Linked DNA regions of Diceros bicornis minor. The protein of the gene in region 3 binds, or shares a complex with, the protein of the main gene of each other region. Links are inferred from orthologs where the notes say so. Each region holds a gene or a part of one and is shown on either strand. Other genes may lie near its edges. The genes, in order: TUBGCP5, MZT1, TUBGCP6 and TUBGCP3.

Region 1 (7,263 bases), on a different chromosome or scaffold from region 3:
ATCCTTCTAGCAAATCATCAAGCCTAAGGGTGGGCTTGGGGACCCATGACTGAATATAAAAGTGCTTGGAACAGCACCTGGCATCTAGCAAGCATTATATAGGTAGTTATTATTACCATGTGCTGAGAAGCCATCCAAAAATTTTAGGATAGCCAGACGGTGCTATTATTTGTGCCAATCTCTGATCTGAATTTTCATAGTAGGTTAAGATGATTAAACAAGCACATGCTTTTTCTTTCCTCACAAGCCAGAGGCACACTGGATTTGATGGCATACTTAAGTCAATTTCCAGGAGATTCTGCTCTAGACAGTGGACAAGACTAAAGTAGAATGTTTAAATATTAACAGAAACAAACTGAAAACAATCAGATTGGAAATGGTAAAATACACAACAGAGACCTCACAATATAATGCATACCTTTATTTCCTTTATGCTCGGAAGTGATGCATTTAGAAATTCCTCAGTTAATCTCTTCCAACTAGCAGCTTTGCTGAGATCAGAATGAATGATGAATTTTTCATAAATTCTAAAATACATTAAAAAAATCAACTGTTATAAAGCTATATTAATAAAAAACCTATAAGAAAACATATTTATTTCTGAATATACACTTACATACATACACATACAACTGCCTTACCCTTCTATTGTCTTTTCTACTTTGTGGCTGTTGACATCCAAGAAATTATGAAATCTAAAAGAGAAAATGCGATTGTTATATTAATTTTGTCATACAGCTAAGTAGGCTAGTCTCACAGCTCTCCACGTCGCCCTAGACCCCCTATACTCAGCTATACATTTCCAGGAGTGCATCTCTCTGCCTGCATCACTTCTACCATCCAGGCAAACAAGAAGTGCATCTCAGAGACTCCTCAAGTACCCTTTCCGCAAGACACAGATCATCATCCTGAGCTTCCCCAATCCTGTCCTCTGGCTCCTTTGTCTTCCCATAATGCCCTGTGTCTAAGTTCAGCAGAGCACATTCTATATCAGGGGTTCCTAATCTGTTTATGCCACAGTGAAGCCCAGCGAAGCCTAGGGACCCCTTCTCAGAATAATGTTTTTAAATCATAAAATGAAATACAAAGGAAACTAAGTATACTGAAATATAGTATTTTTAAAAGTTTGTGATATAGTAACAGACATATTTCTTTATTAAAGCATTAAATAACAAGATCTAGCATGGGTCTATAACTACCATAAAGTAACAGCAAACAATACTTAGAAATATATGCAACTATAATATGATGTGAAATACATGATTTCTACCAGTGACATAGTCATAAGTAAGCTAATACTGCTTGTTGCTTTCATTCATGATTGAAGGAAATGCTACTTTTTATTTAGAGGTTAGTGTAATTATTTTCTTGTCCAAATTCAGAACACCTAAATTCTATCGTCAGGCTCTCAGGTTAAGAACTAGTCTACATCATACGTAATTAACTTTTGTCTGTGTTCTTTAAGGATGGAAGCTACATGTCACTTATCTCTGAATTCCAGGGTGTAGAACATGTTCACAATTTTTAAAAAAGCAAACATGAATTGTTCATTTTTCTGATAGATTAAAGCATCATAAAATTATAGTATAGCTCACTCAACTTTTATTTTCCATTTTTTAGTATCAACGCCAACAATCTGTACTTAAAAGAAGTAAATTACACTAATAAATAAATAATAAATAAATTAAATAATCTATCTAATTCTATCCCAGTAAATGGCTGAGTGGAACATCACTTTACCTACTACAATTTAGTTTTTCAATGTGTAAAAGGAAATACTGACTTCTACTGTTTCTCGCAACTCTAAAGTGATGTCCATCTACCTACTGCGATTTATAAATATTAATAAATTATTTGGGATACAGCATTTAAATTTCTCTGTCTTATATGACCTAGTCAGACACAGTTACATTTAAGAACTGAGTTTATTATTTCAGAAACTTGGTGGGCTTTTAGACTCATTGTTTATTCTCATTATAAACCAAGTAGGCGTTTTATGTATGATCATTGTTTGATAATCAAAATTATAGATTTTGAAAAACTGTTCACTATTCAAGATTTCTACTGAAATAGGTAGAATATTAACACTAACATTCTTTTAGTAATAATTCCATTACAGGTAAAGATCATAACAGTCTCGTCTAATTTACATGTTCCATAAAGAAAAATGGGAGCTCTGACTTCACCTAAGTAGGTAAACTAGATAAATTTTAAAAAATTAATTACATGAGAAACTGTATTAGAAGCTATATCAGGCAGCTTAGTGTACTCTGTGCCAGGAACTGTTCTAGGTGCTGGGATAAGAAATGAACAAAACAGACCAAGACCCCTACGCTGGCGGAACTTGCATTCTACCTGGAGGTGGGGGCGAGGAGATATACAGTAAACAACAGATAAGTTAGCCCATGTGTGATGCCATACATCACGGAAAAAGAAAGAGGAAAGCAGGGTAAGGGAGATGTGGAGCGGCCCGAGCAGGGTGAGGGAGCCGGTGGGAATACAGTTTTAGATACGTGTGACCACTCACTATTGTGCTCTAGAACTTCACTTACACAACCATTCACAGCCGTGTGGAGCGCAGTGTACTCGCTAGGTGCGGTGGGTGGGGCGGGGACCAGGACAGACAGACCCTCCCCAGGAACGCGCTTCCAAGGCAGGAGGCTGACCTCCAACGACCCACAACCCACTGCTTCAGCACGCGTGCCACCCGCGTCGGGACCCAGGGGCACTAGGGCCCCGAGCTGCAGCGGCAGCAGTGGACGCGGGGGCTCTGCGAGGGTCGGCCGCTCTCCCAGCCCCGCCTGACCCCTTCCCGTCCCAGGCGCGAGCCCGGCGCCGCGCCCCCCACCTGAAGTTGGACCAGGCGAAGTGCAGGGCGAGCTGGAAGTTGGGGTCCGCCTCGTCCCGCAGGCCTGCCACCCGGCGGATGAGCTCCCGCACGTCGCGCTCCTGCTGTCTGTCCAGCCGGCTCCAGAGCGGCTCCGGCCGCGCCATGCCTCTCCGCTCCCGCCGCCCTCCGCTGGCTGGCGCCCGCTCTCGCGAGAGTTCGCGCTCCTGCCGCGTTGCGCCTCAGAGAGGCTGCGGCCGCTGTCGCGAGAGTTCGAGCTCCCGCCGCGTTTAGTCTTGGCGCTGATCCTGGTTGGCGGCTTGAGTGTCCCGTTTCCAGTCTTATCTGAGTAAATTTAGGAGCGTCCTCAAAGGGCTACCCATGATTTTTAATCATATTAATAATAGTCTCTGGCTAACCTTAATTGATGGCTTGATTTGTGATGTTTTGAGAGCATCCAGTTCATTCTCATTCAGTGTGTCTGTTTTCCACCTGCGTTTTCAGGTACCATGACTGGTTACTTGTCCATCCTGCTCCAAGCTTCACTTTACTTCTAGAGGTAATCTCTAATGATCTCTCAGTTCCCCTCTGTCTACACAGGCGGTACTATATGGTCCACAGCTCAGCAGGCGTTAGCGAAGCGGGTTGTCCGGCACACAGGTGAGCGCTGCGCCTCCTGCTCTCCCTGGCTTGTGAGGGTATAAACGCTGTCGGCCAAAGTGGAGTGTCGGCCAATTCAAACTGTGCCTTTAAACTGTTTCCGTTACATATTGCTCATAACCATTCTGAAACCTGTTACATAGACCTCTTTAATTTTTTTTCTTTTAGAGATCTACTAGATTTTCGTGTGTTTTATTACATTGCTTTACTGTAGTAACAGATAGCTGATAGACCACTGTCTTGGTCCGTTTGGAGTGCTATAACAAAATACCACAGACTGGGTGGCTTATAAACAACAGAAATTTATTTCTCACAATTCCGGATTCTGGAATTTGAGATCAGGGTGCCAGCTTGGTTGGGTGAGGGCCGTCTTCCAGGAAGACTTCTGGTTGTGTCCTCACATGGTGGAAGGGACAAGGGAGCTCACTGGGGCCTGTTTCATAAGGACACTAATCTCAATCATGATGGCACCACCCTCATGACCTAAGCACCTCCCAAGGGCCCAAGCTCCTAAAACCATTACATTGGTCATTACGATTTCAATATACAAATTTTGGGGGGACACAAACATTCAGACCACAGCACCTCCCTAATACGTAGACTGCATATGATTGCACAAATACCATAAGGAGAAAATCATGCAGTGAAATGAGTCTACGGAACGGAATTTATACTCTCCCTGGGCGATCTTTTCTTCTCCAGTGTCAACTATCATCTGTATGTTTATAACTCTCAAATCTGTATATGCAGCTCACATATTTTTTAGCACCCCAAATCTGTAATTTCTTGTTGTACATCTCCAAAAATCAAAGTATATGTGCACATGTGTCTCCTCTACCTCCCTGTCCAGCTGCTAGGTTTTGGCCTCTGGATGGAGATTTAGAAAACTTTCCATAGGGCACTCCCAATGACTTGGACTTACTGGGGGCTGAGCCACTCTCCTGGGCCTCCCTGGCTGGACTGGGCCAGTGTCCCTATCTGGAATGGGGAGTTGGAGGAATTTTCCAGAGGTGCCTCTGATGACCGAGCCACATTCAAAACACTGTTAGGCCTGAGACACCTTCTGTGGGCCTCTAAGTTTGGCCCCAGATGGTCACCCCCTCTACAGGGGATGCAGAAACATTTTTGGGAAGTACGTATGAAAACAGGATGGCAAACAGGTCTGGTACACTGGTATGTGTCCCTTGCTGGCCAGGGCCAGTGCAGCCCTCCAAAATGGGCCTTGGATAAATTTTCTGGACGTGCATGCAAAAACCAGGCCCCATGCACAACTGCAGCCTGGCCAAAGGAGACATCCCCAGCTTCCTTATCCAGCCTGTCCCAATGTCCCCTTGGAGGGACTTAGAAATATTTAAGGGGTGTCTCTGTTGAATGTGCCACACATGGGACTATGCCAGTCTGGAAATGCCTACCACAGACCTACATGCCAGGGCAAGTCTGTCTTGGCTTCTGGAGGGGACTTAAAAAATTTGGAGGAGGTGTAATATCCTTCCCTTTGATACCAGCTCGAGACAAGGTTGACATAAGAGAAGCCATACTGTAGAAAAGAAAAACCCTGTTGTAACTTTGAACGACCTCTGACAAACTAACCCAGCTGGATTTGTACCCTCCAGGAGATCTAACTGCTCTGTAGATTTTACCACCCCTGCTTGTGCATGTACTTCCCAGCTGTGATAAGATGATAACTTTGTTTTTTTGAGTTCCTTAGGAATGTGATGACCCCCAAACAGAGAATCTATGCTGATAGCCATCATCAGTGAAAACTGAAAGATCTAGTGTGACACTCCCAGTCTGTAACACCAGAAGGTCAACATTCCTAACCCCGTCCCCAATAACCCAATGGCCTGTATAACTGCTGTAAGATTTTGTGCCCCCTTAAGATGGTTCTTTTGGACATGAGTTGGCCGTCTTCCCTCTTGCTAGCAAGCTGTAATAAAAAAGTCCTTTTTCTCCTACCATCTTGCTTCTTGACTATTGGCATGTCTTGTGGTGAGCAGAAGGCCCCACATTGGGGGGTAACAATTTGGCGACCCAGATGGGACATGAAGTCCTGCTCGTGGCCAGCTGACCTCGGATAGGCGGCCTGTTGGGTAAGTCCCTAGTGGCTGCTGAGGCTCTCTTTGTCTCGGGGATCTGCCATACCTGCTCTCCCGTGCTGATGCCAGCTGCCTCCTAACGCTGATGTGGTAGGAAGAGAAATGGCTACATCTGGTGGGTTGATGGGCTCACATCTGAAGTAGGGTGAGTCACCTCGGGGGTCCACCACCGAGAACTTTCCTTCCGCTCCATCCGGTGTCCCCTCTTTGAGAAGGGGGACCATCTAGTTAATAGGGTGCCCTACCAGAGTGGGAAGAGGAATAGGACTTCACCCAGAATCTAGGAACTGGTTTCAATGGTGTCTGTGTCTGTGTCTGTGTAAAGAGCTCCAGGATCAGACGTCTTTTGGGTTCGGGTGAGTGACGTTGTTGAAATGTGCCTGTGCCTAATTGTCTAATATCTCACCAGGATAGTGGGTTAGAGGCCCCACTGGTGAGATTAGGTTGCTGGGTTAAAGTCCCAAGGCTAGGATGTGAGAGACAATATAAAGGTTACAGCTGCTGAGGCACTCAAAAGGATCGGGTTCGAGTCCCGAGCTCTGGATCAGAGTCCCAGAGTACCCTGGGTTAGAGTCCCAGAATGCTGGATTTTGGTGTCTGTTCATGTTTGTCTGTGTCTGACTGTTATTTGTTGAAATTGGCTGCTTGGGGACTGAGTTTCTCGGTGATCATAATAAACTTCCTTTTAGACTAATCTTATGAGGGTCTTCTGACTCAGAAGGAAAGAGGCATTGTTCCCTCTGGTCCTTCAGGATGTTCTCAGGTGACTGGGGACTTTATAGAGGTGTCGGGGTGTCTGCCCATGACGTGCAACGGCCTCACAGGGACTCCTCCTGAAGAGTATATCTTAATGGGCCCTCATTGTTAGTGGTGAGGCAGTTGGCAGTGGCAGCTCATCTGGAGCTTAAATCACCTGAACTTTGTGGGTGCCGGGACACATAAGGGAAAGAGCCAACCCCTTGATTATTCTTGAGAGAACTGCTCCCACTAGCTCACTATCAGACCTTTTTGGTTGAGGCCACCTTGATAAAAGCCCCAAAAGGGAGATAACTATAAACAGCTGGCAAAAAAAACCCAGGATAATTTAAAATTACAATGGCCATTTTGGGCTCTTTTTGAGCCACCAAACCAAGGAACAAGAAAAAATCTTTAATCTTTAAAGAGTCGAGAGCTCCACCTTTCCACCAAAAGTTTCCAAAAGGTGTAAATGTTTACAGAGAAAAGCAGAATCTTACCAAGCTTGTTTTGTGTCCTGAGAGCTTGGCTTGATAATTTTCAGGTTGTGGGGGGATCCCAAAATATGGACGGACGAGAATAGGGTGCACCTCATTTTGCCGTCAGAGATAGACAGAAAGGCAGGTTGCACTCCTGTTTGTGACTAAGAGTCCTACCAAACAGCCGTCAGCCTCAGGGGAATTACACTGGCTATTTGAAGAAAGCCTTGGCTGGGCCTTCATTGTAAGGGTCTTGATTTTAGGGATGCTTTAAACTTTCGCAAGCTGATTCTAGCTGGAACATAAATATACTTTTGACCAGTCATGTCTAAATTCTGAAACAATGAGAAACACTAATTGGATCCCCACCTGAAACCCCTTAGGCTGTATTCTCCTGAATTGGGTGACTTTCAGCTACAGGTAAGCAGTAGGAGCTACTGAAAACTCATTGGTTTATTGATCCTTC
Region 2 (7,881 bases), on a different chromosome or scaffold from region 3:
AGAAGTCCACTGCTTCCTCCCCTGTCTTTATCAAAATCCTTTCAATTCACAATAAAATTACAAATATTTGTAGCTGAGTTCTACAATCCTTGCAAATCACTGACACCCATTAAAAGATTAAATCACTGTTAGCTGACTCTAATACTGACAGGAGAGAGGTGGTAAGAGGATGAGGAGAAATAGACTAGATCTTGAAGGAGGGGAGTCAGACTCAACAAGCTTTGAACACTTCAGTTAGGCTCTCATGGATAGTGAAACCCCTCATTAACAGAATTTCAAAAATAATTGTGTTTGAGTAGGTCAGCCCAGCCCCTTGGGCAAGCTAAAGTTTTATTTCTGGGAATGAGGGTGGAGGAAGGTGGGATTATAAAAGACTGCATTTAGGCCTTTTTCAGTTGAGTGTATGGTCAATTATTTACAGTGCAAGTGTCACTGTTTCCCTTTGTGCCTGAATCATTATTGACAGTATGAAAAATAGTCATTAACTTAGCAATAATTTCACTTCACATTTTACGTGACTGTCTTGGACCCGATTATGGCATGATAGCAGGGATTTTCTGTAAGTTTACAGTTCTAATGGACACAACAGTATTTGGCAGCCACATTTAACAAGGCTGAGGGCCGGGCCCATGGCTTAGCGGTTAAGTGCGCGCGCTCCACTACTGGCGGCCCGGGGTTCAGATCCCGGGCGTGCACCGACGCACCACTTCTCCAGCCATGCTGAGGCCGCATCCACATACTAGAAGAATGTGCAACTATAACATACAACTACCTACTGGGCTTTGGGGGAAAAAAAAAGGAGGAGGATTGGCAATAGATGTTAGCTCAGAGCTGGTCTTCCTCAGCAAAAAAAAGAAAGAAAAAAGAGGAGGATTAGCATGGATGTTAGCTCAGGGATGATCTTCCTCACAAAAAAAAAAAAAAAAAAACAACAACAAAGGCTGATCCGCTGCCTACTTGGGGCTTTCTTTTTACCTTCTGGTGTGTGGCCAAACTGCATGCAGAGGAACAGTGTTCTCTAATCCACACATTCTCTCCTCCAATTTTTGCTTTTTTAAAAATATCTGGCATTTCTTCACTTTTTCATGTTCTTACACTCTCTAAAATCTTTATTTTACACACAGTTCTCTCAGTAAAAATCTTGATGATGGAACCAATACAAACTATCAGTTCTCATTTCTACATCAGTAGTTCCAACAGAGATAAAACGCTGAGTTTTCTATTCAAATAGGATCCTGTGGCCGTAGACAATAATGCTGTATACATATAGCTTCTCTGTACATAAATCCACTTACAGGGCTGGCCTGTGGCTGAGCGGTTAAGTGCGCGCGCTCTGCTACTGGCGGCCCCGGGATCGGGTGCACATCAACGCACCGCTTCTCTGGCCATGCTGAGGCCGCGTCCCACATACAGCAACTAGAAGGATGTGCAGCTATGACATACAACTATCTACTGAGGCTTTGGGGGAAAAAAATAAAATTAAAATAAAAGAAAAATCCACTTACAAAACAAAATTAATAAGTTTTGATACATCAAGAAGGATGGGAAATAGGCTGAATATGATGTTAAGAACAAAATTCTATTTTTCAGAAAAACTGCAAGGAAGATACTTGGTAAGTAAAAAATTAGATGCAAAGGCTCTAATAATATAAGTAATTCTGTGAAAAGGAAAGCAGCAGCCAGTGCAGAAAAAGCCAGAAGCCTTATCAGAAATCTCTATAAAGAAGGGTTATATTAGGCAGTGGAGCCTACAGTGAAGGAGACAGAGGTAGGATATGTAGGCCAATACTGCTTAGCGAGAATTCCATGGGGTTATGTTTTAACAGAGATAGAGGGTGATGTGGGTATCCCCTGGAAAATGCAAAAAGCAATGTCTAACATCCATCAAACACATATATACATAGATGCGAATAAAACAGAGACAAAGGAGTCTGTAAGCGGGATGCCATTTTAACACAAAAATAATACAGTAACTATCTTTTAATGATCACGTTCAATATGCCTTTACCTAGTTATCTTATTTAAACACTCACGATAACCCTAGGAGGCAGTAACGTCATTCTACACACACACACACACGCAGCAGACTTAAAGATGTTTAAGCAGTTTGTCCAAGTTCACCACTAGAGGTACAAAGTGGCAGAGCCCGCATTAGAGCTTAGAGAGAGGGTAACTCCAAGACGCTCAGTTCGTCTTCTACCACCTGTGTGTCGGCTTTAAGCCGCACGCCTCGGGGCGCGAAGACAGAGAAATACACTACCGGCCCCGGACACCGGCGTCACCCGCTCCATGACGAAAGTGGGGCGATTCTGATGAAGGGGCGACTCGTTCATTCACCGAATGCTTAAAAAGCGCCTACTAAAATGCAAAGGACAAAGAATGTAGCGGTGACCGAAGAGACACGGCCACGGTGCGCACAGGCTGACAGTCTGGAGGCCTTCCACGGCGCGCCCCGCTCGCGACTAAGAGGAAGGGACTCACTGGGCGCGCCGCGCAGGCTCTGGCGCGGCAGGAGACGGGTGGGGTGGGCGCGGCGCGCGGGGCTGGGCAGCGAGGGAAGGACGCGAGGACCCGGCGCGGGAGAGGGGCGTGGCGCGCGGGGAGGGGGCGCGGGCGGCGCGCGGGGGTCCGGCGTGGGACGGACGGGGCACGCGCCGGGCTGACGTGGAGGCCCAACGCCGTGCACGCGACAAACTACGCAGGAGCGAAGAGACAACTCTCCAAAGATGGAGACACCAGCCCTGCGGCCCCGGCGGATCGCCTGGGAAGCTCTTCAAAGATGCCGTTGGGGGCAGGAACTGGACCTAAAGTCCTGCTGGGCTCACCCCCGCCTGGGGGCCTTGGCTCTGGGAAACGGAAGCGAGGTAAAGGGGGCGAAACGGGCACTCACCGTCCATGGTCTCCCTGACCGCGTTCAGATTCGCCGCCGCCGTCGCTGCCCCGGCGCCGCCACTACTCGCCATGGCGGAGGCCGAGGGAGGTGGGAGAAGGGCCTGACCCGGAACTGGAGCGCCTTCCTTTCTCCTGGGCAATCACACCGCGCGTCCCCCGCTCACGCCGGGCAGGCTCCGCCCCTCGCGCTCGTCGCCGGCGTGAGGCTGCGTTGATTTGAATTTGGAGCCTCGTTACTCTGCGCGGAATGTGAAGCGAGGAGTTGCCATTCGAATTTGCTACGCGGCCTCAATGCGATTGGCTGGTTCGCGGACAGCGGTGCGATGCGATTGGCCAGTCGCCCACAAGCCCCGTGCCCTGGTTGGCCTAAGACAGCGCGGAAGCGGGGAGTTAAAGAGTCTGCCTGTCGTGGGAGCTGGTCTGGCCCCTCGGGAGCGCCCTGGAGTCGCTTTGGGGGGCTTCCTTTTTATACACACCACTAGGTACGTTCTTTGTAGTTCTTGGCCTTTCTTGCTGTCTCGAATTGGAGCGCTTCACGTTTCCCGGCTCCGACCTGCCTGCCCGCTCGCCCCGGGGTGAATGGGAGCAGCGAGGGAGTAGGTGCGGAAGAAAGGGGTGCCAAGAAAGAGTGATCGCGTAGGGTTGGGGGTGACACCGGCATGAGTGTCCTCCTCTGCTCTTCTTCCCGAAGCCAGCTGCACTTCAGCGTTCCAAGAAGTGGATTTTTTTTCTCTAGTTGTAGCGCCCTGTTGACTGAAAGTAAAGCAGTCTTGCCTTCAATCCTGGGGGTCTTAGCGAAAGGAGGCTGTCTGAGGCGAGGCAACTAAAGGGGGTTAATTTCCTAGCCTCAGTCAATCGTACTTCTCTGACCCGGGCTGATGTGCAAGTAAGGCACCCGTGCACAAGCTTTCTTGTCTCTCATTTGCTTGCTACAAATACTTGTTGTTTAGTAACTGCAGTTTGATAGGGAATTGCTGGGTTGTCTGAATGATGTTCAAGTGTTTAGAGACTTGAGATAATGAATAAAAACACTATAGGTATAAGTCCTTTAGTTGGAAAAGGATTTGTGCTTGTAGTAGCATTTAGTTGCCTCGAAGGCGGACGTGAACTCAGTCATGCTTGGTCAACTGTTGCTTAAAAGCCACTTCTCTGAGCTCGTTAATTCTTCTGCAAAATGGTATCACTAATACATTTCCTTTCTAGCTTTCAAGGTTATCTAGAGGATCTCTTGAGAAAATGTATGTGATGCTTTTTGTAAATTATAAAAAAGCCCAAGAAGTTAGGTTTTGAGTTCATGCTTTTGTGAAATATATGTTTGTTGAATATATTTTAATTGTCAAAATGAATGTCTATGGAACTTTGTAGTTCTATTATACATACTTCTGATTTCCTTTTAGTTTTTTGTCTGTGCTATGGGAGATGTCAAAGAATCAAAAATGCAAATAACACCGGAAACTCCAGGAAGGATCCCTGTTTTAAACCCTTTCGAAAGTCCTGGTGATTATTCTAATCTCCATGAACAAACTCTCTCCAGTCCTTCTGTTTTTAAATCAACAAAATTACCAGTAAGTTATGCTTGACTAGTGTTTAAAAATAATTTTAAATGTAATATCTTTCTTTACAAGGTAGAGGGGAAATTTATCATGGAACATATATATCTGGAATGTGCTTTTTAAATTGTTCTTTATAGTGTAGTGGTTGGGCTAAAAATAAGTTAGCTAGAAGATTTTTTTTAGTTAGCATTTCTCTCTTTTTTTTTTAATTTAATAGATAATATGTTAGTTTCCTGCAACTGTGGATGTACCTGGATACTATGGTTGATGATATGTCTACAAATACCATATTAGAAAATAAGCCATGTCATCTAATTATCTATTCTCATTTACTCAGCAAACATTTGAATGCTGCTGTGTGTCAAATACAGTGCTAGGCATAGAGGTTATACCTTGAACAGTCCAGGTCATTAGACACAAACTCTCAAGAAACTTATACTCTAATGCAGGAGTCAGCAAACTTTTTCTGTCAAGGGCCAGACAGTAAATATTTTAGGCTTTGCGAGTCATCTCGTTGATGTACAAATACTCACCTCTGCCTTGTATCACAAAAGCAGCCATAGACAAAATAAACGTGGCTGTGCTCCAAGAAAGCTGTTTTTTGTGGACACTGAAGTTTGAATCTCATGTAATTTTCACATGTCATGAAATGCTAATATTCTTTTGGGATTTTGTTAACCATTCTTAGCTTGCAGAGTGTGTGAAAAGAAGCCAGTCTCTACTCTAATGGGATAGACACAACTAAACTAGTGACCACAGAATATGATAGGTGCCATGGTTAAGCAATGGTTAAGCATAAGAGTGACATGGAAGGGAAGGTGCTCTTGAGGGGATTAGGGAAGCCTTCATCACTTGAGCTTATTCTTACTGTTATGGGCTACATTGGAGAAGTTCTTTGGAAGTCTGATCTTTTAACCTAGTAAATTATCTACAAACTGGGTGGCTCTTTATGCTACACTTTCACATCAGCTTGAGCAGGTATGCACTAGAGGAAAGTTTTACAGTTACACAGTTTCTGTTTAGTCATTAATCTCACCTTATGATTTTTAATTGAATCATATAAATTTTAATCAGTCTTAATAAAAATAATTGAAGGACGGCAACTTAATCCTCAAGGCCAGAATGATTGGCCTCTGGGGTTTTTAAGCCTGAATTTGTCAAAAATATATTCTGAATTACAGATTAGCATTTGAATAAGTTTTTGGTTTAGTTGGATAATTGAATGCGAAAGGGCAGTGCTAGTTGCCATTCGTAATTATTTCAAGGATCAACTATTTAAGAGCTTTTGCTGGCACTTTTGTAGTTAGAACTTTGTTTAATTTCAGTTCATTTTTAGTGAAAGTAAAGACTTTTGATAACTCTAGGAGATTCTTACTTGGGCATGTTACATCACTGATGAGTGTTAATTGTGGAATTTCTATACCTTTAATGCTCTACTGTAATTTTTCTATTACTATGTAAAAAATCACCCAGAGGGAAGAGTTGGATATTTTTAAAGAGATACAGTCAAGTCAGTTGATTCAGTGTGATTTGATTACCATTTGCCTTTTAATTTAGTGGTGAAGTCAAATTTTAAAATATGATCTGTAAGATATTTTTATATTGTAACCATTTACATTATTTTTGAAGCTGATGTTGGTTAGCATTTTAATGAACTATGTTAGTTTGCTTTTACTCATAAGCTCACTTTTTTTCCTTAAGACTCCAGGGAAATTTAGATGGTCTATTGATCAACTAGCTGTAATAAATCCTGTAGAAATAGACCCAGAAGACATTCATCGTCAAGCTTTATACTTAAGTCATTCTCGGTAAGTTTTCCTTTCTTGCACGTAAGTGTAATAACCCACTCTCAAGTGAAGAGAGAGAGGAAATTCCAGAGTGAATATTTTTATATGTAAAGATATCAGGGAAGAAAAATAATGATACAGATTTATCCTATGTAACTGAAGAACTGTATCCAGAAAGATTTCCTCACTGACAGTTCCAAATCTGGGTAGGAGTTGTTTTCTTTTAGAGATAACCTTCCTCTGCTGCTTATGGGACAACTCTCCCTCCCCAGCATTGGTAGAGGGAGGGCATTTTGAAATTTGTACGTTTCTACCTAATTGAGGCTTCTGCCATTGAATTTTTGTTTTGTTTTCTTTTTTGGTGGTGTAGGGTAAAGCAAAATGCTATTTCATTGTCATCTATGTTTAGGGAAGCCAAAAATCCCCTTACCAAATTAAGACACATTGAATGGAAGGGTATCCATTAACAACAGAGAGAGCTTTTCTAGACATCATCCAACTTTGATGTGGGACACTTGGGGATCTGAATTACATTGTCTTGAATTCACCTAGTAATCAGAGCAGCCTTAACTTCTTTGTTAATGTGTCGTGTAGGTTTCCGACTACTAATGTGCCTCAGACTTGTGCTGCTTACTGATGCCTAATGTAGTGAGACCATGCACTTCTTTGGTGGAACAGACCTAGTTTTTGATTACAAATTGCAGTATTCTGTAATTACAAATTACTGATAGCAGTATTCATTAATAGTTCGAGGGACTCTTTTGTTGATGTCAGTTTTATAGTCTGATTTTTTTATATTTGAAAAAATATCACATACTGGCATGACCAGCTTTTAATTTTCAGTCCTAAGGTACATATGTTGTCAGTTCAAAATAATAGATAATCCTTTTCCCTTTAACTTTAGAATTCAATCACGCAAAGATGCGCACATGTTGAAATGCTCTTGCAAATATTTGTCTGGCTCTTCTATCCCTTCCTCTCTTGGCTTGGTAACCTGATGACCATTCCCTCATAATTAGTTAATGTTCCTCCAAAGTGTTGTAGAAAGGGAATAGAATGGAGATAGAGCATAAAAAGATTTTAACTTAAATCTAAATAATACCTTTGAAAAAGAAGGTGAAAAATAATATCTAAAAGCAAATGAGTCACAAATGAGACTAATTTTTTATCTCACACAAACTGTGTGCTTTATTTTGCCTCTTCTCTTCAGTATATTCAACTCTGGGCAACTATTATCTATCAGTCAAGAGATATTTGTTGAGCACTATGAGGCACTGTGAGGAACACTGAAGAAGGATAGAATGTTATTCCTGCCCTCTAGAGTCAACAATACAATTAAGCAAAGTTGTGACACAACATTTGTATAGTTGTTAATAAATGATGTATTGTCTGGGTAGGCTTATGAAAAGAATCTTGGTGTATTTCAATTGATATATTTATAATATAGGAGAGGGGAAAAGAGTGGGAAAAGACCCTAATTTTAATGTAATTTACTAATGTAATACAGTGAATGGTTATGGCTTCTACCAAGGGTAGTGAGTATACTCTTAAAACATGTTGAATCATTTTTAGAAACAAGCACTTGCTTCCGATGTCTCTTCCTGCCTAATCCGAGTTCCCTATTTCAGTGTTTCTGACCCTTTTCATGC
Region 3 (7,367 bases):
GGAGACCCCACCCAGCCCCTTCCCATCCTGTGCCAGGCTCCTGGCCTGGAGGTGGGAGGCCCCACCCCTCAGTGACCCCAGCGCTGTCTGTCCCCAGGATCCTCATTGTCGACTGGGACATCCACCATGGCCAGGGCATCCAGTATATCTTTGAGGACGACCCCAGGTGAGCTAGGGATGGGGACAAGACCCTTCCATGCGACGCAACTCTTTGGAGTGCTCAGCCTGGTCTCAGAAAATCTGACGGGGGAGACGTGGCCGTGTGCTTAGGGATCAGGGTTCTTTGAGGAGCTGTGGAGCTAAGGGTCCTGATCTCTGACCTCTGACCCCGGCTGGCTGTCACAGCGTCCTTTACTTCTCCTGGCACCGCTACGAACACGGGCGCTTCTGGCCCTGTCTGCGCGAATCAGATGCAGATGCTGTCGGGCAGGGGCAGGGCCGCGGCTTCACTGTCAACCTGCCCTGGAACCAGGTGCCTGCCCCTCCCCCAGCCCACCTCCCCTGCCCCACAGCTCCGGGCCTCCTGAGTGGAGCCCAGGCATCCTGCCAGGGTCACCCCCAGAGGCCAGGCCCCAGGGGTGAAGACCCCACATCCCCCTGGCGAGGCCCAACACTGACACCCTGTGGCCGCAGGTTGGGATGGGAAATGCTGACTACGTGGCTGCCTTCCTGCACGTGCTGCTCCCCCTGGCCTTTGAGGTGACTGCGTGGGGCGTTGGGGTGGTCTCGATGGCAGGAGGGTGAGATGGGGTATTCGGTGCCCAGAGTCCTGTCAACTCCATCAGAGTGGAACAAAGCCCAGGTGGGTGGGGAGGGTCTCTCTGGAGGGGCCTCCTCTGTCCCTGCTCCAGCCTCTTTCCTGCTCCTCTCCACCGGCCCTGCCCACAGTTTGACCCTGAGCTGGTGCTAGTCGCAGCAGGATTTGACTCAGCGGTTGGGGATCCCGAGGTGAGGGCCTAGCCTGGCTGGGGAGGGCTCCTGGGGTCCCGGGCCAGGCCCCCTTCACAGTGGCTCTGATTCCAGGGGCAGATGCAGGCCACGCCAGAGTGCTTTGCCCACCTCACGCAGCTGCTGCAGGTGCTGGCTGGCGGCCGGGTCTGTGCCGTGCTGGAGGTGACTGCGGCGAGCAGGGAGGGTGCACGGGCCAGAGGCTGAGGAGCAGTCAGAGGGGGTCTGCTGCATGGGTATGGCGTCCTGCCTGGGATGGCAACATCCTGCCCCAATGACCCCCTTCCCCAGTCACATCTCTGCCCTCCTCCACCTTCCAGGGTGGCTACCACCTGGAGTCGCTCTCTCAGTCGGTGTGCATGATGGTACAGGCACTGCTGGGTGACCCTGTCCCACCCCTGTCAGGGTGCATGGAGCCGCATCGCAGGTGCGAGGGGCAGGAGGGTGGGAAGGGCTGGGGGCATGAGGCCAGGCCTCACTACTCCTGCCTGTCCCTGCAGCGCCCTGGAGTCCATCCAGAGTGTCCGGGCAGCCCAGGCTCCTCACTGGATGAGCCTCCAGGAGCAAGGTCATTGTGGCCTGGGCTGGGAGGTGGGATCACACCTCGGGCTCCCAGTAAGCGGCAGTAACTCTGAACCACCTCTAGATGTGGCCCCTGTACTGAGTCCCAGCACCGGCTCCCCAGAGGGGAGGCTCTCACCTCTGTTGCCTGGCGGGCCCGAATTCAAGGCAGCAGCGGCCCAGGCCGTGGCTGCATTGAGCTCCCTCCTGGACCAGCTGCGCCTCCACCCCACGCCCTCCGTCCGCACAGCTGTTGCCCTGACTGCGCTGGATGCAGCACTGCTCCTGCCCCCTGATGTCCTCCATCAGGAGGGGTCAGCCCCGCAGGAGGAGACGCAGGTCTGGGCCAGGTGGGCAGAGTGGGCCTGGGGAGAGGGGTGAGGCTGTGTCCACCCATATGCCTGTGTGTGACTCACCTGTGGTCTATGTGTCACCCTATGTCCATGTGTCCCTCTGGTTTGCCCACCACAGGCCACATGAGGCCTTGGCCCAGGACAAGGCCCTCACTGCACTCGGGAAGGTCCTGTATCTCTTGGATGGGATCCTGGATGGGCAGGTGGGGGCACCTGGGAGGGGCGGGGGTGGCTGTGGAGCCAGGGGCAGGGCCCAGGACCTACCCGTGATGGGTGGCCTGTCCAGGGGAGGACTGGGTGGTGCAGAACCACGACACGAGTGTGGCCTTGTGCCCAGGACCCCTCCTAGAATAGCCCCCAGGGACGGGGTTCTTGAGCACCCCTCCTCAGTTCCCTCAACTAAATACTCTTTGGCAGAACGGTGAAGGGGGTGACTTAAGGTGTGGTTTTAAACATCTTATTTTCAAAAGTAGAACAATTTGACTTCAGTGTATACAGATGACAGCCACGTGGACAAGGGCCAAAGAAGGGATGTTCGGGTCTGTTTACCTTTTTGGGAATTGCCCTCCACTGCTGTTATTCACTCCACAGGTGAGCAGCGGCATCGCAGCCACCCCGGCCCCTGCTGCAGCTGCCACCCTGGATGTGGCCATTCGGTGTGGCCTGTCTCATGGAGCCCAGAGGTGAGCCTCACCTGGCCAGCCTGAGCCTCTGAGGGAATGGCCCAAGGGCATCTCCTGCCCTGGCTAGCCACATGGGGAGGGCTCTGGGAATGGACTCCAGGAGGGGTGAGTGCAGCCTGTCCTGGGGCCGACTCTTCCTCTAGGCTGCTCTGTGTGGCTGTGGGACAGCTGGATCGGCCCCTAGACCTTGCCGATGATGGGTATGACTCCTGGGTCATGTGTATGTCCAATCCTGCCTGTGAGTGGGCACATGACCCTGGGGCCCCAGGCGTGATGGGTGGGGGGAGTCTTCTACAGCTAGAATTTGGTAGAGGGGCCCTTGGGAGCAATGCCAGGAGAGTCTCCACTATAGAGGGTCAGCAGTCCTAGCACCTGTCCCCCCCAAGCTCTCTACCTCCCCTTCTGAAGTCTGGGTTCTGGAGGGTGAGCAGCGTCTCACACACATGCACACGTGTCCATGTGCTCACTCTCCCCTGGAAGAAGGAATCTATGGCTGAATATCAGGGGCAAGGAGGCAGCTGCCCTGTCCATGTTCCACGTCTCCATGCCACTACCAGAGGTGAGTGGTGATGTCACAGGGCAGGGCAGCTGCTGCTTACTGGAATCGTCATGAGGGCCAGGCCCCTGGCTTCCTTCCTGGCTTCCTGATGGGACTGCTGGTGTAGTTGCCCACCAAAGATTGGGAGGTGGGGTGGCCTGAGCTGGCAGGAGGGGTATCCCCTGAATGAGGGGCTGGGGCCATGCTCCTGTCCCTCCCACAGACAACTGGTGGGTTCCTGAGCTGTGTCCTAGCCCTGGTGCTGCCCCTGGCCTATGGCTTCCAGCCTGACCTGGTGCTGGTGGCACTGGGGCCAGCCCATGGCCTGCAGAACCCCCAAGCTGCACTCCTGGCTGCACTGCTGCGGGGACCAGCAGGGGGCCGAGTGTTGGTACTGGTGGAGGAGGTGAGTTGGGCAGAGGGGACATGCTGGGGGGTTAGGGTTAGGGTTAGGAGGTCGGGAGAGACCAGTGACTCTCTGCTTCCACCTCTGCCCCTGGCCCAGGAATCCACACCCCAGCTTGCAGGGGTCCTGGTCCGGGTGCTCCGTGGAGAGGCCCCCCCCAGCCTGGGCCCCTTCTCCAGGGCCTCCCCAGAGGACATGCAGGCCCTGGAGCACCTGAGAGGGCAGCTGGGGCCGCAGTGGAAAATGCTGCAGGTGGCCGGTGAGGCTACGGGGCAAGGCTCAGGCTGGATGCTTGGGGCCTTGGGGACATCCTGCTTTAGAGCTCTGCGGGGAGACTGCCCCTTGGGTAGTGGGGTGCTGCCCGGAACCGCTCACGGCAGTGCCAGGGGACCCTCCACCTCTTCCCAGCTCCTCCTCCAGTGCTGTGACCTGGGAGCTTGGCGTCGGCCGGGGTGGAAGTCTTTACACCCCGGGACGGACACCACCACCTGGCCCCCAGGGCCGGTTAACCGTCACCGGCACGGCTCGCCCGCGGCCGTGTCCCGACCGGCCCTGCGTCCACTCGGCGCCCCCGCCGCCCTGCGCGGACGGCCCGCCCTGCCCCCCACGCCCCGGCAATAAATAGTTAGGCAAAAGCCTGACTCCGTCTGCTTGGTTCAGCCCGCGCCGGCCTCAGTTTCCCCGCCGCGGGTCCGAGACTCCCAGCCGGAAGCGCTCCCTGGACGGCAGCTCCACTCCTGCCCCTCCGCGCCCCGCCGGCTCCCCGGTGACGCAGTTCCGGCGCGCCGGCTCCGACGGTCTGGCCGGTCGCGTCGCGGTGACGCGACGGCGGCGGCAGGAGCGGGAGCGCGCTCTTCCCGGGAGGCTGTGAGCGGGGCTCGTGCGCCTGACCCCGCGGACCCTGCCGGCCGCCCCCACTGCCCCTTGGGCGGCGCCTGCTTCGCCGTCCCTCCCGGGGACACGGGAAGGCCGCGGAGCCGCACGTGTGCCGTGTGCGCCCACGCTAGCGTGTCCTCGGGCTCGTCCCGCGCCGGGATCCTGCGGCTTGAGGGCCCGGACCGGGGGACCGCGCCGAGCCGGGCTCTGCGGCCGCAGGGCAGGGGGCGCCGAGCGGCACGAGGTGCCCGGAGCCGAGAGGGTGGGCATGGCCAGCATCACCCAGCTGTTCGACGACCTGTGCGAGGCCCTCCTGCCGGTCGCGAAGGCTCGCTTGGGCCAGCGCGGCGTGAGCCGAAGGAGGGCGAAGCAGAGCCTCAAGAGGGTGGCCTACAACGCTCTCTTCACCAGTCTGTTTCAAGATGAGACGCAGAGGCTGCAGCCTGACCCCTCAAAACTCCCGGTGAAAAACAAGATCCTCATGCTGTCCTTCGACTTGAGGGTGGGTGGCCTGGGCCCCGAGGCTGACCGTTTGGAGGAGCTGGTGGAGGAGCTGGAAGCAGGCCCTTGCTGTCCGCTTGCGGAGGTGGGCTCTGTTTTGGACCTCCTGGTTCAGCTGGCAGGGAGTGGCCCCCCGCGAGTGCTGCCGCGAAAGCGGGACTACTTCTTTAACAACAAGTACGTTGGGAGAAACGTTCCCTACAGCGGCTACGACTGCTACGACCTGAGTGTGTTTGAGATGGACGTTCAGTCTCTGATCTCCAGAGAGGAGTATCTATGTCAGGACATGATCCACAAAGCGCTTCAGGTGATGGAGGCGGCGCCGGGCACTGGCCTGCCCACTGTTGGGCTCTTCTCGTATGGTGACCCTTGTGGTGACAGGTTTGAGAGAGACACCCGGGTCTCGCTGTTCGGTGCCCTTGTGCACAGCCGTACATACGACATGGATGTCCGCCTGGACCTGCCCCCGGTGCCAGACAGCGCAGACCTCTCTGGACTGGCTATTAAGGTAGAGTGATGCTTTCCCGCCTCTGGCTCCTCAGGCGTTTGGAAATGCCTCCTTTGACCTTCCTTTGGTCATGGTAAAGGTAGGATAGCTCTCAAGCCACTTGTGGCTGAGCTGTGGGGAGGCAGGGCTGCTGGAATGCGCCTTCCTGGGTGGCGACGCTGCTGCCAACCTGCACACCAAGACAGCAGGCTGCTTTTCATCTTTCGTCTATCACGGCGTATTTAGTCACTTACTCTGCCCTCTAGAGTTGACTTTTGTTTTTGTTTTTTTTTTATAATTTTATTTATTTATTTATTTTTCCCCCAAAGCCCCAGTAGATAGTTGTATGTCACAGCTGCACATCCTTCCAGGTGCTGTATGTGGGACGCGGCCTCAGCATGGCTGGAGAAGCGGTGCGGCAGTGCGCGCCCGGGGTCCGAACCCCGGGCGGCCAGCAGCCGAGCGCGCGCACTTAACCGCTAAGCCACGGGGCCGGCCCTAGAGTTGACTTTTGAATTTAAGTTAATTAAAATGAAATAAAGTTTAGTTCCTCAGTCACATAAGTCACATTTCAAGTGCTCAGTAGCCACATGTGGCAAAAAATATTTGTTCATTCTCTACATGCAGTTTTATATACTTTTTTTCACCTATAAATGGGATTTTGCCTGCATTATTAAATAAATCATGATTGGCTTTTGTATTTTGTGGCTTTATAAATGTTGCTGGAAGGATGCGCTGTTATTAGTCGTTCCCTTACTATGAGATATTTAGTTATTTCCAAACATAAATAATGCTATAGCGAACATCTTGGTGTGTATAAATTTTTGTGTGTCTAGTATGATTTTTTTGTGTGTGCTGTATTCCCCAAAGTGGAATTTCCAGATTGGAGGCATTTCAGGAAAAATTTCATTGTAAGTTATATTGAGGGTTATGTGTTGTGTGAAATTGGAAATCGATAACCTTAATAAATTAATTTGTTTAACTTCTTAAACGATTCAGTGGGGGCAAAAACATTGTGTAGTACATACCTGCTTGAGAAAAATAGAAACGTTCTACAAGGTCTTTCCTGTAAGGAGTAAACACGTGTGTGGAAAAGTCCTGGAATTCTGATCACACTTGGGGGACATTTAGACTCAGGCATACGTGCTATTTCCTTCTTTCCCATGGTCTCCAGGTTCCTCAGAGTGTGGATCAGTCAGAAGATGAAGGGTTCCAGTCAGCATCCAATTTAACTCCCGATTCCCAGTCTGAACCAGGCATGACTCCAGACATCGACCTGTGGGACGCTGTGCTCACCTACGAGGCCAGCAAGCGGAGGTGCTGGGAGCAAGTTGGATGGTACGGGAGCCTCTGCTTTTCAGTACACTGCCCTTCCCCCCACGTGGAACAGTGCCTTTTCTCAGAGAGCCCAGGCGGTTGTTTCTAGAACAGCTGTGAAGGGGCTAGGAACTTGGAAGTTTCAGTCAAGCTAGTGTACAAAATGGTCTGTGTCCTGGGTGTCGAGAGAAACGCAGAGGGGAAAGGACTTCCAGGCTTTTTGGGGGCTCCCGCTATGCCAGTGACTTCTGCAAACCACACTTGCCATCAGAGCGGTCAGTTGGCAACTGAGTTACGTTCTTGCCCTGAGGGCTCCCGGTCAGGGGTCTGAGGGCGGTCTGGCAGGCTGTGTGATCAGTGCCAGGCTCAGGGTGCTGACGGAGCCTTCATACTGCTGTATGCATCTAGAAGGATTGAGAGTGGCGCTCTCCAGCTGACGAGAGGCTCCAGTCATGGCTGTTTCCCTGATGGTGCCGGCAGCTCGCTCCCTGGGCTCGTCCGGCCCACAGGCCTCTGCACTCAGGACCTCCCAGAGTCTGTGATGTGCTGCTGTCTCTTGAAACCTCCAGAATGGGGATAGAGGACACATGACATACGTTTCCAGGTGTTTGGTCATGGGACCCCTTTGTCACAGCCCACCTGCTGGCAGTTCTGTGGAACACCAGTTTGGGGAGCAGTGAATGAAAGAACGGGATTA
Region 4 (7,378 bases), on a different chromosome or scaffold from region 3:
CCAACAAGAAGAGATTCCTTTTAGGGTGGCTATAGGAGCTCTCTGGTTCTATGGCCATACCTTAAGCTAGAAATGTAAAGACTCGAGCTTTCTGAATGCCCTTTGGTAGAGTCCATCCCACTCTACAGTCTTTGCAGTTATCATCGCTACCAACGCACCCGACCACAGCAGCTACTCAGTGTCCCAGGTTAGGCTCTCAGCCAGCGCTTTGTCCCACGCAGCTGCATGTGGTAATGTGAGCCATTTTGGTGCTCCAACGTGCCATGGATTCCACCGTCAAAAAGATCTCAGTGTACTGCAGCTCAGACATGTGAGTAACCAAATCCTGGAATCCCATCTGAGGCTCTCTCCCCTGGGATCAGTCCTGTTAGCAAGGACTGTATAGTAAGCACCACTCTGCAAAACAGAAACCACTCTAGCAACTTCAACATGGGGGATTTAATACAGGGAATTATTTACGTGGGTGGTTGAAGCAGCTGGTGAGGACTAGGAGATTAACAAGTGCAGAAAGTGGCTACTTTTCACAGGGCTGAAGAGACAGCAAGAAGACTGATGTTACTGTATCCCACATTCTGAAACCTTCCAATGGGAGTGAGATCCATGATGAGAGTTGTACAGAGGAGGTTGGAACCACGAAAGAGGGGGCTGACTGGTGGAGATGTTGCCAAGAGGGATACTCAGTTACCGTCATAGGCAAAGTGAGAAGCAGAATGCTGTGAGGCGATAACTTTGGTTGTCTCCTCCTGACCTCCAGTTTCTACCAGTGACTCCCATCTGCTGAACCTGCCAGTCGTCCAGGGAGTTCGCATCACAGCCTTCTCTAGGATGTAGGGCAGATCAGGGAAGGGCAGGTAATGGATCTGAGAGCAAATAGGCAAACGATGGGCATGTCCTCCATGGAGCCATGCTTGAACCCCACCAGGCAAAGGTAATTTGTACTAGTTACCTGTTGTGTAACAAATCATCCCCAAACTTGAGGGCTGAGAACAATGAACATTTTATTTGGTAACAATTCTGCAACCTGGGCTGGACTCAGTGCGCGTTCTGCTTGCTTTGCAGTTTCTCTCTTGTGTGGCTGCATTTAGCTGGAGGGTCGGCTGGGGGCTGGGATAATGGAATAGCTGGGCCCCTCTCTCTCATTTCATGGGGTCTCAGGATCTTTCCCTTTCCATGTGGCCTCTCTCCATGATCTTTCCTGTGGGGTAGCTGGACTTTTAACATGGAGGCTCAACGCTCCCAAGAGTGCTAGGAGGAACCTGTCAGGCCTTCCAGAGGCTGAGGCTGGGAACCAGCACAGCGGCTCTCCCACAGCATCCTACTAGCTAAAGCAAGTCAGAGATCTTCCAAGGCAAGGGGAAGGGGATTATAAAAGGTGAGAATTCTGGGAGGCACAGTTTATTGGGGGCAAGAAATGTAGAACACTACCCCATAGCTATTTCCTCTACTATAGCATATGGGACCTGTTTTTAAGAAGTCTAATTTTAGGGGTTAGACTTCTGAAAAGTTTTTATTTTTTGCCAGTTACGTTTCCCCAAGTAGGCCAGGTAGATTCTCCACTTCTCGTCTGTAGTGACATCTCAGGCAGACCCACGGCCTTTTAGTCATATTTGGTTTTGAAAAAAATTCTGTCCAGTGTTGATGCAAATAATCCATAATCAATCTATAAATCAAAATTGGGGTGAGTTTATTACGAGCCAGATCTAAGAACTAGCCTGGGGCCTTCCTTCCCCAAGGAAGGAAGGGCGTCAAAGAAGTGGGGTGTACAGAGAGGTTATATACCGTCAAAGAGCATGTATCACATATGATTGGAATGTCCCTTTTACAGCAGTCACGTGACTGCCTAGCCTACCTACCTGGCACAGCGATTCACATAGCAATTGACGAACACAGCAGGTAGCAGGTCTGTGGTCTCAAGCTGGGTGGTCATGGCAGGTCAGCAATCAATCCCTAGCCTAGAGAGAGAGATACTTATCCTTAAAGAAATGCTGATGTGGGGGAAGTTACTTTATCTTAAGGGTATTGTTCTTGCCTTTGGGCATAGTAAATATTTAAAGCAGATATACAATGCATGCTCAAGGGTCAGTCAGGCCGTTTTGGAAAAACAAGATCAAGCTGAATTCCTTTTACACCAGATGGCTTCCTCATATACTCCAGTATATCCTGCTGCTTGTCATTTATTTATCACCAGGCAAATTCAAGGCGTTTGTGCCAGATCCAATCTACAGCTCATGACTTTTCCTCATTCCTGTGCACCCAGACCTCATCAGCCTAATGTATCTGAAGAAGGGAGGGGACATCAGTTGCCCTTCTATTTTCCTCCACCTCCCATTACTAATTTTAACTCTCTTAATTTGAGTCACAATGGAAGGATTAGGGACAGAGGTTAAAAATCTTTTAATTAACTTGGCACGAGACCGTGGCCTCTGTCAGTAGTCCTCACTTTCTGGTTAACCTTGAGTGGCCGTCAATGCCATCTCTGTGGCAGGTGTCCCAGGCCAACCCTCTTGTGGAGCACATGCATGACTTTTCCTGCGGGTTCCATGCAGGGGGCTCACCTCTGCACGGTTCCGGGCAGGGTAGGTCCTGATGTCCCTAAAATTGTCTCAGGACCTCCAGAACGCCCTCCTTCCCCACGGTCACTGAGCAGCTGTAGATGGACTTTCAGGAATGGGAGTGATGGTTGGAGAATTAGCAACGCCAGCGTGGCTGCGTCCTAACAGACCCCGAGGCAGTGTCTGCCTCCCACTTTCTATGGCTTTCTTTAAAATGTAGTGTCCTCAGTTTTGTATCTAGTTGCCAATTCTTGGACGAGTCCTTCTCTACATCCTGTTACATGCCCACTGTGTATTTTAGTTATTTTATTTCCATCTTTAGATCAGAAGAGCAAAGGCACACGCAGGTAAGTTTCAGTGACAGGAGCTGGTTGTAAGGACACATGAGCACATCGCCCACTGTGCTGGGCCTTGTGTTCTCTAATCGCCTTCCCTCTCTGTGCCGCTTGCTGTCTTTGCACCCTGTGACGTTGCAAGACTGCGGCTGGGGCTCCATGACCTCGAAAGCCTGGGCAAGCACAGCAGGACGGCTGGGAAGGAGGAGAGCTGTGGATGCTGCAGTCTGAAGCTGCGGTTCTGCTCTTGGTGTGAAGTCCTGGCCTCCAGTTGCCTCACTCAGACACTCTTTTGGCCTTTGTCTTGTGACTCTTATGGTTTTCCTATTCCTAGAACTCAAACGATGCAAGGCAGGTGTTAAAATGTGCCATCAGATGAATAGTGTTCCTTTAGGGCCTTGGCCCTTCCTCCGTAGGCTCCCATTAAGGCCCATTTGACAGCCCGAGTGCTAGCAGGGTGGTCTTGTTTGTAAGGCTTGGGTTCTCCTCTGACCCTGTGGAGGGGAGGGGTGGCTTTTTCTCTGCTTACTTGGTTGTTGGAAGTTGCCTGTTTTTCTGTGTTATAGTTCAGGCCACTGGAAAATACAAATTCTTTTGATCTTAATTCCAAATTCCCTGGAAAGAAACTTAGGTTGGTCCAGCGTGAGACAACTACTCGCCCTTGGTCTAATCTACTGACTTGAACAGTATACTCCTGGTTGCCGGGATCCCATAACTCTGACCAGCCGATGTGTGGACTGGCTCATCTGGCCCTGGACTGGGCCATTCTCAGCACCCGGCTTCTCCGCACACTCATGTGACACGTCTATAAGTTCGTGGAGAGTGACTTGTCCTAACTGCCTGTTATTCCTCCTTTTCAGGCCTCTCCCCTCTCTCACTCTTCATCTGACTTGTCTCTCATGACTGTACTGGTCACCTGGGATCAGGTGGGGACGGGCTCTGAGATGGTGAGCAGCCACAACACACTTCTGGAAAGCTGGATGATGTGCAGGTGTCACGCTCGACCAGATGTAAAATCGTAAAATTCTTGTACTCCTTTACACAGTCTTCTTCCACTGAAAGTGTGACAAGAACCGATGACGTTTTTAAAAAAGTAGGGACTATGGATGCGCTGCTGGGCACCAAGCACTCCCACAGCAAGTCAGTGGTCGTCCTGCTCTCGGGGACGTTTGGGGACATTTGAGGGTCTGAGCTGTCCTGACACTCTGGGGACGTCTGGGGGTCTGAGCTGTCCTGACCCTCTGGGGACGTCTGGGGACGTTTAGAGGTCTGAGGCGTCCTGACCCTCTGGGGACGTCTGAGGGTCTGACTACCGGGAGGCGATGAGCAGCGAGGCCCAGCGCGCTCGGTGCCGGAACCTTCCTACCCCGCCGGCGGTGGTCGGGGGGAACCCTTAGGCCGGCGCACCCGCGGCCCCGAGCGCCCGGAAGAAGCGGCGCCTTGTGGGAAGAGCCCGCGGTTTCGGCGGGTTCCGTTAAAATGGCGCCCTGGTCGCCGGCGGTGGCCGCGGGGCCTTAGCCTGTCGGGGACGCGGGAGCCCGGGCGGCGGGGTCTCCGGAGCGCGGCGGGCTCGGGCAGGCGGGCGAGGGCCGGGGGCTCCGCGGGCAGTCCCGGGCGAGGATGGCGACCCCCGACCAGAAGTCGCCCAACGTCCTGCTGCAGAGCCTGTGCTGCCGGATCCTGGGCCGGAGCGAAGGTAGCGGCGGGGCCGGCTCGGGGCCGGCTCGGGTCTCGCAGGCCGCTCCCCGCGCGTGCGGCTCGGCGGCGTCCCCGGGGCGAGAGCGTCCCCGGGGCGGCGAGGGGCGCGGCGGTCGCGGAGCTGCGGCCCCGGGCGAGGGCGGAGGGCAGGGCCCGGCCGGCTGAGTCACCGCTCCCCGCGCCGGGGCCGGAGTGGCGCCCGCGAGGACGGCTCGCGGACGCGCCCCTTGTCTGAGTCCCCGCACGGCGGGCGCTTGCGCGCTCACCGGGGTGGGGAGAGCGGCGGCCTGGCCGGTCACGCGTCTGTGGCCGCGCGCAGGGGGCGCCGGCGGGGCCGAGCCGCGTCAGGGGCCCTGGCCCTTAGCGGAGGTGGCAGCTTTGAGGCGGAGCGAAGGGGGTGCCGACGGCTGTCACCTGCCGTATTTTTCTGTAAGGGGCTGAGGGTTGAATTTGATATGGAACTGTTTTTGGGGAGTTTACGTAGGGAACACTGCTCCCAAACCCAGTCCTGCACGGTGTGGAAAGCCATTCTGTGGTCGTGGTGCTTGTGAAAATGGCACAGTGTGTCGTTTTGGTGGGAGGGAGGGAGTAGTGGGGATGCAGCGCGAAGGAATAATGGAGGCAACTGGGTTACTTATTCCTGAAGCACCGTAACGTGGAGAAGAAACTGTTCAGTTGTTGTGGGAAGACCTTAAACAAAATTACATCTAAAGTATTGGGACTACACTTTGGCCTTCAGGATTCATGGCAATTAGCTGACATCAGTTGTTTGATGTTCTATGATAACCTTAGGGGCAAAAAGTGAAGTTTTCTGTCAGTCTATTCAGTGCCACTGCCTTCACGCAGTTCTTGCTGCGTTTCATAAAGTTTCAGTGTCACTTTACTCATCTAAGACATTTTTGCTCCCACCCCAGCGCACTCCAGGTACCGTGTTAGGTGCTGGTGATGCAGAGCTATGCCGACAGGTCGTTCCTCCCGTAGATCTTAGATTCTAGTGGAGGAGACGTGATAAAATAGGTAAACGTATAATGTTCATTAGTGATCAGTGCTGTGATGAAAAATAAAGTAAAGGGATGTCGAGGGAAGAGGTGAGGGAAAGCCTCCGAGGACATGAATGGAGTGAGGGAGGGCCCTGTGAGCATCTGGGGAGAGCTCCGGGTGGAGGGTGCAAAGGTCTTGGGGTGGGTGCGAGCTTGGTCTGCTGTCTTCTGCGTTTGTCTCCAGCTCTTCTCTATGTGTCTCTCTGCACTGGGAGTTACATTCTGATTTGATGTTCCGAGTCATGGGAGAAACCCAAGAGCTAAGGTTGTTGGTTATGACTCGCTCACTTTAATGTCAGTGTTTTCATTAGACCGGTGGGTCCGCGGTTTTCCTCCAGGGATAAACCACATACGTTCCCATTGTCACAGCTGGACTTGGAAGGCCATTCATTGTGAGGTACCATGATGTTTCTCAGTTGAAACAAATTTTATATTTGCAGCTCCTTTCGATTGACTTAGTTTCACTGCTTCCAGGAGGTTGAAATGTCTCTTCAGCAAAGTTCTGCACCCTCCTGGCTCTCCATTTGGAATTGTGTCTAAATTAAGAGTGGGCAGGCTCTCTGTGAGATCCTGAGGGGATCCTCTCGGAGTAAAATATATTATAAAATCCATTAACGACAATGCTCTCTTTGTTCTGGACAGCTAGGATTGCCAAACAGTTATTATATTCATAATTCCAAATTATGCTACTATTTACAAAAGAATTTACAACTATTTAATAGCTTGCCTTGTTTTAATTTGTTCCACCTTAGTGGGCAAAGGAGCAATATAAATTGCTGCCTTTACAGTGTTTGACATTTGAAAAATTTTTTTTTTCATTAGTGGGTATTTTATCTGATAACTAAGTAGAACCTTTGGTTAATTACTTCATTTTTTAATGACATGTTACAAACAGTTGCTGTTATGCTTTTGTAATATATTGCTTTTCTAATACTATGAAATTGAGGCATAATAGACACGTTACTTTTAATGTGAATTTCATATGAATCAATTTTTCATAAAGAACCTTTTAAAAAAAATTTTACGGTTGGCTTCAAGGGACCTTCGAAGCAAAGCACCTAATGGTAGTGGTGCTTGACATTTTTCTAAAGTTAGTATAACCATTATTCCACCTTTTCCATCTTATAACACCTGTGAATTTGCTTGAACCACAACTGTCCACCAGTGGCAGGAGAATTCTCTCTCCATGTCTCTGCCTCTCTCCTGGAGCACATTTTGCTTATTATATCTTTGGATAGTCATTATTTGTCTTTGGAAATGATGTGCGTGATCTTATAGTGTTTTAACTCTTGTCAGAGGCAGCGTTCCTTTTCATACCTTGTAACCCTCTTTTTAATTATGAGATAAAGAAGAAATAAGGGAGTTTTTATTAGTAAATATTTCAACACAAATGCTTAGGTGTGACTAAGTACACTACATACTAAAGTAAGGTGATTGCCCTAATCTGTAACACCACCGTGAGTGCACTGTGAGCCATGTGTAGACAGATAAAGAAGTGTTGTGTGCTGATTCTTGGGCCACACATGGTGTTGCTGTTGGTTTCATGATTTTCCGAAATGGTGAAGAGCTCTTGATGAAGTTTTGAATAAAGTATGGTCTTCCCTGGATTATATGCTTGGGAAAATCAATGTATATTAAGTATACATTAAAAATTATATTAAATGTATGTTAAACTGTTCACCAAATGTCTATTAATATGTATATTGAAATTTCAGAGTTTTAGGCTTCATTTGAAAGTTGTACTTAATGTGTT

The links.
Region 1: the proteins of TUBGCP6 (region 3) and TUBGCP5 are in contact, whole or in part, in a cryo-EM structure (PDB 7QJE), measured with the Homo sapiens proteins. The link is inferred for Diceros bicornis minor from reciprocal best matches to the Homo sapiens genes TUBGCP6 and TUBGCP5. Residues at the interface, in NP_065194.3 of Homo sapiens: Glu290, Ala291, Ser292, Lys293, Arg294, Arg295, Cys296, Trp297, Glu298, Arg299, Val300, Gly301, Cys302, Pro303, Pro304, His306, Arg307, Glu308, Glu309, Pro310, Tyr311, Leu312, Glu314, Lys322, Arg325, Leu326; in NP_443135.3 of Homo sapiens: Asp211, Asp212, Arg213, Trp215, Leu216, His219, Val220, Val221, His222, Trp225, Ser230, Phe232, Pro233, His234, Leu238, His239, Ser240, Asn241, Leu242, Leu264, Val265, Thr266, Glu267, Thr268, Gln269, Arg272, Val302, Thr303, His304, Leu305.
Region 2: the proteins of TUBGCP6 (region 3) and MZT1 are in contact, whole or in part, in a crystal structure (PDB 6M33), measured with the Homo sapiens proteins. The link is inferred for Diceros bicornis minor from reciprocal best matches to the Homo sapiens genes TUBGCP6 and MZT1. Residues at the interface, in NP_065194.3 of Homo sapiens: Met1, Ala2, Ile4, Leu7, Phe8, Asp10, Leu11, Cys12, Ala14, Leu15, Pro17, Ala33, Leu37, Val40, Ala41, Ala44, Leu45, Asn48, Ile70, Leu73, Lys85, Arg88, Leu89, Leu92, Val93, Glu95, Leu96, Leu104, Leu105, Ser109; in NP_001065243.1 of Homo sapiens: Asn17, Ala20, Val21, Thr24, Val27, Leu28, Glu30, Ile31, Ser32, Ile34, Leu35, Asn36, Thr37, Leu39, Glu42, Thr43, Leu44, Ile46, Cys47, Arg49, Leu50, Cys51, Glu52, Gln53, Ile55, Asn56, Pro57, Glu58, Ala59, Leu60.
Region 4: the proteins of TUBGCP6 (region 3) and TUBGCP3 are in contact, whole or in part, in a cryo-EM structure (PDB 6X0U), measured with the Homo sapiens proteins. The link is inferred for Diceros bicornis minor from reciprocal best matches to the Homo sapiens genes TUBGCP6 and TUBGCP3. Residues at the interface, in NP_065194.3 of Homo sapiens: Pro65, Arg67, Asn68, Leu71, Met72, Ser74, Phe75, Asp76, Arg78, Asp87, Glu90, Asp151; in NP_006313.1 of Homo sapiens: Pro9, Asn10, Val11, Leu13, Gln14, Glu25, Ala26, Ala29, Gln30, Phe32, Gln33, Val36, Arg37, Ile39, Gly40, Ser41, Phe43, Thr129.

The regions. Positions count from the first base shown.
Region 1 is NC_080744.1:72,501,681-72,508,943, reverse strand, and holds the start of TUBGCP5 (gamma-tubulin complex component 5), read right to left. Parts: upstream 3,015-7,263; 5' UTR 2,995-3,014; coding exon 2,849-2,994; intron 696-2,848; coding exon 642-695; intron 528-641; coding exon 419-527; intron 1-418. UniProt on the Homo sapiens protein: Component of the gamma-tubulin ring complex (gTuRC) which mediates microtubule nucleation.
Region 2 is NC_080748.1:52,856,981-52,864,861, forward strand, and holds the start of MZT1 (mitotic-spindle organizing protein 1), read right to left. Parts: upstream 3,016-7,881; 5' UTR 2,964-3,015; coding exon 2,891-2,963; intron 1-2,890. UniProt on the Homo sapiens protein: Required for the recruitment and the assembly of the gamma-tubulin ring complex (gTuRC) at the centrosome.
Region 3 is NC_080764.1:562,544-569,910, forward strand, and holds the start of TUBGCP6 (gamma-tubulin complex component 6), read left to right. Parts: upstream 1-4,355; 5' UTR 4,356-4,633; coding exon 4,634-5,374; intron 5,375-6,527; coding exon 6,528-6,691; intron 6,692-7,367. Other genes in the region: polyamine deacetylase HDAC10, read left to right, coding at 98-166, 346-472, 634-699, 889-948, 1,024-1,113, 1,269-1,375, 1,449-1,859, 1,981-2,065 and 5 more. UniProt on the Homo sapiens protein: Component of the gamma-tubulin ring complex (gTuRC) which mediates microtubule nucleation.
Region 4 is NC_080748.1:86,404,547-86,411,924, reverse strand, and holds the start of TUBGCP3 (gamma-tubulin complex component 3), read left to right. Parts: upstream 1-4,375; 5' UTR 4,376-4,507; coding exon 4,508-4,583; intron 4,584-7,378. UniProt on the Homo sapiens protein: Component of the gamma-tubulin ring complex (gTuRC) which mediates microtubule nucleation.